Canis lupus familiaris: one gene and its partner. The main gene of each other region encodes a partner of the protein of the gene in region 2 in a complex. Links are inferred from orthologs where the notes say so. Each region holds a gene or a part of one and is shown on either strand. Other genes may lie near its edges.

Region 1 (3,812 bases), on a different chromosome or scaffold from region 2:
ACATTATCATCCCCAGCTACTTAGGAAATTATGCAAGTAATAAGCTTCATTTTAGAAATGTGATTTTCAACACAGATCCCATTTCTAAGGGAAAATGGGGTAGTGTTAAGCTACTATATATCTAGAGGTAGGACAATGTATTTCTCCTATAGGATACAGAAAAATAGCTGTTAAGTATACCACTAACAGTACACCACCACCAAACTCTTAGATGAGATGACAAAAAAATTAAATTCATGGATTTGTCTTTAAGTGTATTCAGTTTCCACACAGCAAAAAGTAAACACTATCAAAATACTACTGGAATTACAATGCTACTTTATTTAAAAATAATCCCCTACTCTTTCCCTTGAAAGTCCCATTTACCAATACTCTCCACTACCTGTAAGGCTGCAAACATCATCATTTCTTCTTCTGTGCATTCAATTTCTTCTAGGAGAATAGCCCATTTGGCCTGCTCATAAAGCTGATTGATTCTGATTGCATCATACTGCAGCAAAAGAGACACAATCTTTTTACTACATCACCCTTAACATAAAAATGTTTGAAAAGTGAATATTCACTTTCAAAGCTTAACAAAAAGTTTTAATATACTTTTTTTCTGGGATTTTTATACAGTATCAAATGCTCAATAACAAGGATACCTATCGGGTTAGGTATATCTATATATTCCCACATCTAATTTTCCATTAAAAATGACATTAAAAATATGCCAAAATATTATTACTCAGTATTAGAAATAAGATTCTGTATGTTATTTTACAGGGAAATAATAATTAGATATTACAGAGCTCTTAACAAAATGAATCTAACTTGAGAGACATTTAAAGTAAGGTACAAGTGACTGATTTTCACTTGTTATTGCAACCTGCCACACTAAAATGTTACAGTCAGGGAGTAAGTTACTTCAGGGAACACCCTGCTCACTATGGAAAAGCATACTTAGACAAAGTACTAGGTCCTTAGTAATTATATTAAGAATCTGAAATACAGAGTACATATATATACTTGTGGTAAAGATTTACTTATATGTTACTGAATTATCCATTTAGTTATGTTAATAAAAATTAATAGTAATGTACTAGCAATACTATTTTAGAGTGGTAACAAAACATATGGCATCCCTCTTCCCTAGCAAATATAACTTACGTTCCCAAAACAGTTTTGGTTTTACTGAAATGAGACATGATATGGCCTGAGGGGACTAAGACTGTTTTTTGTAGTTCCAAATTATACATTTTACCGTTAAAGAATTACTTAAGCACATAATAAAAAATGGTAAGCATATACATTAAAATCTATACTATAATCTAGACATGAAAAGGATGAGAAGTAGCCAAGAGAGGTTTTCACCTAAGAACGATAATAAGGAAGCAAAAGATCCAAAACACCATGCCATATGTTTTCTAGGGAAAAATACTCCAAGATTTCTTATCAAATTTACTCTTCTCAGAAAAGCAAAGTATTTCAGTAGGACAGATGATGCAGTCATTTGATAGTAAAAATATATAACAATGTTTGCCTAACTAAGTAGGAAGAAATGTAGACTTAGTTTTTCTTTGAAGCAACATCTTGTGATTTATAATTAGAAATTTGAAAGTCATTGAAAAGGTACTATTTCAGAAACACTTTTTTTTCCAGAAACTCTTATTTTACTAAAATCACAGCTTAAAGAGAGACTTAAAAAAAAAAATCCCTAAAACTAACTTTATCAATTCTATAGTACCAAGCTAGTGCATTTAAAATACAAATCAACCAAAAATTCAATTATTTTAACAAAAAAGAAAAAGTTTAATTATGTTCCCAACCTAGGAACACAATACTTATTTCAAATACAGATGCCTTTGTCTAAAGCTTGGGTTTGTAATATTATTCAGATGTTCTATATACAAATGATTACTTACCCCATCAATTCTAAAAAACAAACATCCAAATGAACCAAAAAAAAAAGAGATCCCTCTAAACCCTCGGTACCTTTGGATTCAAATCAAAAAAGCTGTAATACTTGAATCGGAGAAGCAAGGCCTCATTTTCCTTCACATCTTGTTCCATAAGAGATCTTGAGGAATCAAGCCACCTGGACAAATTAACAAGAGCAGTGGAATGCAAGACAAGATTAATAAAATATTTCTACCTCTAGTTGGAGAAAGAAATTCTTCAGTGTGTCTTTAATTCATTAATTTTTAAAAAATTTATTTGAGAGACAGCGTGTATACAAGCCTGATGTGGGGCTCAATCCCATGACCCAAAAGATCATGACCCAAGCTGAAATAATGAGTCAGAGCTTAACCGATTGAACCACACCCAGGCGTCCCTCAATGTTTCTGTATTTTAAAACTTACCCTTGGTTGATTTTTGCTTTGTCAAGAAGAGCCTGAGGCTTGAACATTTTCGCCAGAATTTCTGGTGATGTGATTGGCTGACTGACAGCAAGTATACCAGGGTTGCCTTCTGACAAAGCACTGTCACCAAACCAAGCAGAAGTTGGTGACAAGGGGCTTCCATCATGAGCATCGTAAGTGGGGGTCATTGTTTTACTGTAAAGTCCTGGGCTTGAATATATACTTCCTAATAAATAACATGAAAAATAGGTAATAAGTATGAATGAAGTACAGAATTTTAGTTTTTAATAATACATGCTATATAACGCAAATTGTGAAACAAGTTTCATTATGGAAGAGCTTAGTACATTATTTTACCTGTCTTGAAAACATGTAAAATTAACTTTAATTCTACTTGTACAACATTAGAACATATAATAAATAACAAGGTCAAAAGAATATAATTACATTGGCAGAAATTCTGGGGAAAACAGTTCAAGGGAATTAGAAGCTAAATGTTAAGAATATAGCTGAAGCAGACAGATCAAGTTTTTAATTGTGGCAAGGCTCACCTTTCAGAGGGCCAATGTAAAGAACATCGGTGCCTATAGGAAAGGAAAGACAGGAATTCAGAAGGTAAAGGAAAGGTAACAACAGAAGACAGAAACGAAATGAAAAGGAAAAGGAAATGGAAAAAAGAAAAACAGATTTTCCTAATGTGAATTATAAACCGAAGTAAATATTTTAGATGAATTTAAGAGTAAAGAATCTTAAAAACTGTAACATAAGTTTTTTTGTCCAATTCAAAAAAATGAAGTGCTCTAGTCAAGCATCCAGTGACAAACATATCCACGTTTATCACTCTTTGAAATCCACACCCTGTTTTAAGACAGCTTGATGTAACTGAATAAATGCACATAAACTAAGAACAATTTTATGTTAACATTTTCTCAGTTAATAGCTGAACTGGTTCCAACAGCTTTACAAATAAACTAGTAAAGCAAACGGGAAGATAAAGTTTTGCAAACAAAGATACATTTTATAATTAAGCCCCAAAGGCAGGGGTATTTTATCTTCCAATTCCTCAGTGTTCAACAGGGACATACATGTAGTAGAGGCTACATTAATTAAAACTTGTTGACTTAGTCAACTGACAATATATCCTCCATCATTTTAAATTACAAAAATTAAGGAGACTGGATTAAATTAAGACTTCAAAGTTCAGAATAATGTTAAGTAAAAGAACCTTCCCTCGAAGTCCTAACCCTTTTATGTTTGTTTTCAGTCATAATTTTTAAAAAGAAAATGTGTAAATGGAGGATGCAAAGAGAATGACTGTTTTCCCTTATCTAATTTAGGAATATGCTTAGGAATTTCCCTTCCACTCTAACAACCCCTCCATGCAATGATAAAAACAATTACTCCATGCAATGACAGAAACAATTCCCTATGAAACAGAGGTAGTCATGCTAGAGATTTTTATAGTTGTCA
Region 2 (4,309 bases):
ACTCTATATTATTTTATAAACATAACTTTGTAAGTCTCATAATTGGCCACCTCTGAAAAGTTGAAAAATTTAGAGTATAGGCTGGCTCCTTTTGCACATGGCTCCTGAGGAAGACCTACCACTTTTTTTTTTTTTTTTTTCAGCTTACTCACTGAAATATTCTGAGGCTGCTGCTAATGTTCTGAGTTTTATGGATTGCAACTCCCTTAACCCAAGTACATACTGTCATATTTTTTCAGCCTTCTACATTTATAGATACTGCTTCCATTTCAGGATCCTGAAGACTAAGGCACTCTTCCTTACTGTTATCCCTGTCAATCCATCCCCCTTCCCCAAGACTCCCACTATGACAACAAAAAAGAACAAAACCCCCACAATATATGACCAAAGTTAGAACAGACCCACTAATACCACAAGACATATTTTCATATTTGCACAGTATAATCCTCTAGGATTCTACCCCAACCTGATACATCCTAACTTTCCATGCAGAGTGAGGAAATCTAAAATTTAACAAGAGTCCATATAAGTCCTTAGATACATTCAAGCTTTTATACATTCAGAAACTGAAAATCTCAGAAGTCAGAAGTTCTGCAACTTTGAACCGGCAAAAGATGTTTCATCTCATCATTCCAGCAGTGTAGTTAAGAACAGACCAGTGTACCAACCGAATATCAAAGAAAAATATTTTCCTGAGGTAGAGTGTTATACTACCCCACCCCCATATCGTAAGCCGCAATTTATTTGACAAGAAGCCAAACAATAAAGCTATTATGTGGCAAGTATTCCGTTAAAACTGGCACATTAAACTGATTAATTCTGCCTATTACAAAATGACCAGACGTCCCCAGAGAAGCTCCTGGAGTTAGGAGTTTATTGATAACCATGCAGAACTGCATATTCATTCAGTGATGGAAATTTGGGCCAGATTTTAATTATATTGACCAGAGAGTTAAGAAAAAAACCACCTAATTGTTAAAATCACTAAACCTAGCAATTTTCAATATTGTTGATTCTATATTTTTTCACGTACAGACTGTTGAGGGTATTATAAAATAGTAATATAAAATAATCATAATGGAGAATTCAGCATTCTTTTAAAGAGACTCAACATTACAAAAACTAAATTTTAAGTCTGTGAAGTCAACACAGATACCTTCATTTGGAATTTATTTGCTTTCTATTTACAAAAGTATTAACCACATCCCCTGTCTTTTTAGCTAACATTCTAATAACATCTTCCATTTTATGAATTTTCAAATAAATAAATGGCTTTTTCCCCAGAGCCCTGTCCCCAACAGACCTGTCCCTCTGTTTCCTATGTATCACTTCATTATCTTAAGCCACTCATTTAATATTGATCAATGAACTAAAATTATTTAAAAATATGAACACTGTAGTGAACTCTTAATTACCATCCCCTGTGGGTGTAGATGTTCACAGATGTAGACTAGGTTAACTTCCACCTGAAATTCCTTAATCATTTCTAAAAGTGGTCTATTAATATAACTAAAGGCTGTATGCCCTTTCGGAAAAATGCCTAACCAACATTTATTTCACATTATTTTTATACCATCAAAACAACCAAAAATAACAGCATAGCGGATCAATTACGTCCTGAGATTTTTTTTTAAATCTTTTTCATATATCAAGAAGAGACAGAAAGGAGTCCTATGCATTTAGCATCTACTGTAAGCTGTTTTACATATTACATCTGATATTCACAACTCTATGGTCTTTATGGAACCTGTTACTTGAACCTGTGATTCAAACATGGGCTCTGGTGCTAGACCCCATGGGTTCTTCACTCACTAGGCTGGATGATCAGAGGCAAATTACTTAGGCCTCCTGTGCCTCAGTTTCTTCACTAGTAAAATGAGTATAAAAACTGCACCTACCTCATTGTATTGGTTCCAGGATAAACACAGGTAAAGTGCGTAGAGCTAACCACGGCCCGCACTGTCCTTACTAGAATAGCTGCTTTTATTATTAGTGTAGGTATTCTTGTTCCCATTTTACGGGTGAGGAAATGGAAGCCCCAAGAGGGTAATTTACTAGTGTTAGTTTTTGACTAAAAAGTACAAATTCGATGAAATAAAAATGACTTAGGCATAAAATATTGGTAGTAACTACAACTTGTTAGGAAGCCCAAGAATTGAGGCGCAGTAAGAGGCCGGGCCCCAGGGCAGGTGGGCACTGGCTCCTGCAGAGCCGCGGGAGCCCCTGGCCGGCCCCCTGCTGAGGGACCCCCCACTCGGCGCGGCCCTCACACACCCCAAGTCGCCAAGCCCGCGCCTTCCCCGGCTCCCGACGCCCGCCTCTCTTTGGGCCCGGCCCGCAGTTAGCCCCGGCAGCAGGCCCTGAAGGCTGCGGCCCGACTTCTGCAAGCGGGAAGCGCGCTACTACGCTCCAGGCCGCTCGGGGGAGAGCGGCCCCGACGGGACCGGGAACAAAGGGAAGCCGCAAGGGCTCGCTCCAAGCCCCGGGGCCTCGGGCCGCGGGCGGCCCCGCTCGCCCCTCCCCGCACGCGGAACCCGGGCCCAGGCGGCCCACGAGGCAGGCCGGCTCGCTCCGCGCGCTCGGGGCCCCCCACCGCGGCGGGACAGCGCCCAGGCCCGCGACCCCCACTCGCGAGGCGGCGGGACGAGCTCCGGGCCTCGGCGGGCGCAGCCGGCCCGGCCCCCGGCCCCCGGCCCCCGGCCCCCGCCCCGGCCCCGGCCCCCGCCCCGGCCCCGGGGCAGCGTTTCGTCCCGCAGCCCCGCCACCGCGCCCGCCGCCCCGCCCCCGCCCCCGCCCCACGCAGGCCCGGCCGCGGCGCCCCGGCCCGCGCCGCCCGCCACACGCACACACGCGCACACGCGCACACGCACACACGCGCGCACACACGGCGCCACCTTCTCCGGGGCGTCCGGGCCGCGGTCGGCTGGGGCCTGCAGCTCCGGGACTCCGGGACTCGGCTCGGCCTCTCCCGACGGCTAGCGCGGCCTCCCGGCTCTCGGGCGCGGCGGCGGCGGCGGCTCCTCCTCCTCGGGGGCGGGGGCAGGAGACTCGGCCGCCCGGAGCCGCCTCCCGGCAGGAAACGACCCCCGCGGCACCGCCTCTTCGGCCCCGCCGCTCCTGCTCCTCCGGCCGCCGCGGCCGCTCCTGCTCCCCTCCCTCCGGAAACGCATTCCTGCCGGGCGGCGTCAGCTCGCCTGAGGCGGGGAGGGGAGGAGGACGCCGGAGGAGCGCGGAGGGAGGGCGGGCGGGCGGGAGAGGAGGAGGGGCGGGGGAGACGGAGGGGAGGACCGGCAGAGGGAGCAGGAGGAGGAGACGAGGGGAGGACCGGCAGAGGGAGCAGGATCCGGAGGACCGGGAGCAGGAGGAGGGGAGGACGCGCAGGGGAGCAGGATCCCGAGGACCGGAGCAGGAGGAGGGGAGGAGGAGACGAGGGGAGGACCGGCAGAGGGAGCAGGATCCGGAGGACCGGGAGCAGGAGGAGGGGAGGACGCGCAGGGGAGCAGGATCCCGAGGACCGGAGCAGGAGGAGGGGAGGAGGAGACGAGGGGAGGACCGGCAGAGGGAGCAGGATCCCGAGGACCGGGAGCAGGAGGAGGGGAGGACGCGCAGGGGAGCAGGATCCGGAGGACGGGGAGCAGGAGGAGGGGAGGAGGAGACGAGGGGAGGACCGGCAGAGGGAGCAGGATCCCGAGGACCGGGAGCAGGAGGAGGGGAGGACGCGCAGGGGAGCAGGATCCCAAGGACGGGGGAGCACGGGAGCAGGGGGACCAGGAGGAGGGGGCCAGAAAGCCGAGGCCAGGCCCAAGGAGCAGGGTGGGAGCTGGCCTGGGACTGGGCCTTCGCTGTGCCTCAGTTTCCGCTCCCGCCGACCGACCGACCGAGGGAGGTGCGTGGGGGGGGGGGGGGGGCGTCGGGAGCCTGGGGCTGAACACCTGCTGGGCCTTGCGGTCCACTGCCCCAGAGCCACACCCAGTGGTCCCGTCAGCCCAGGATCTCCTTCAGTCCCAGGCACATCCAGAGGATCACCCACCCTCTGGGGCTTCCAGGGGCCCAAACTTTAACTTCTAGGGAATTAGCTAAAGCCACTACTGTTGACTGGAGTGGATAGTTGGCTTGACTTGGCTGTATGAGGTGGTGAAGACAGGAAGGCGGTCAATGCCAAGAAAGATGGATTTTTAGGAAAGTTTTAGAGAAAAGAAAAACTGGTAAGTTAGGGATCTCCTTTTGTTAGATTAATCTGGAGGCCCATTTATGGGGAACATGGTTAAGAGGTAAAATTGGTTAAGACCTAAAATTGCATCCATAAAAA

What was found.
Region 1: the proteins of ITGB1 (region 2) and FERMT2 are in contact, whole or in part, in a crystal structure (PDB 8TEE), measured with the Mus musculus proteins. The link is inferred for Canis lupus familiaris from reciprocal best matches to the Homo sapiens genes ITGB1 and FERMT2. Residues at the interface, in NP_034708.1 of Mus musculus: Ala786, Val787, Thr788, Thr789, Val790, Val791, Asn792, Pro793, Tyr795, Glu796, Gly797; in NP_666166.2 of Mus musculus: Phe609, Ser610, Asn611, Met612, Lys613, Gln614, Trp615, Asn616, Val617, Asn618, Trp619, Glu620, Ala629, Asp630, His647, Ile654, Ser657, Thr658, Lys674, Leu675, Ser677, Gly678.

What each region holds. Positions count from the first base shown.
Region 1 is NC_049229.1:29,346,026-29,349,837, forward strand, and holds part of FERMT2 (fermitin family homolog 2), read right to left. Parts: intron 2,927-3,812; coding exon 2,894-2,926; intron 2,569-2,893; coding exon 2,343-2,568; intron 2,078-2,342; coding exon 1,975-2,077; intron 491-1,974; coding exon 383-490; intron 1-382. UniProt on the Homo sapiens protein: Scaffolding protein that enhances integrin activation mediated by TLN1 and/or TLN2, but activates integrins only weakly by itself. Binds to membranes enriched in phosphoinositides.
Region 2 is NC_049223.1:3,937,821-3,942,129, reverse strand, and holds the start of ITGB1 (integrin beta-1), read right to left. Parts: upstream 3,053-4,309; 5' UTR 2,895-3,052; intron 1-2,894.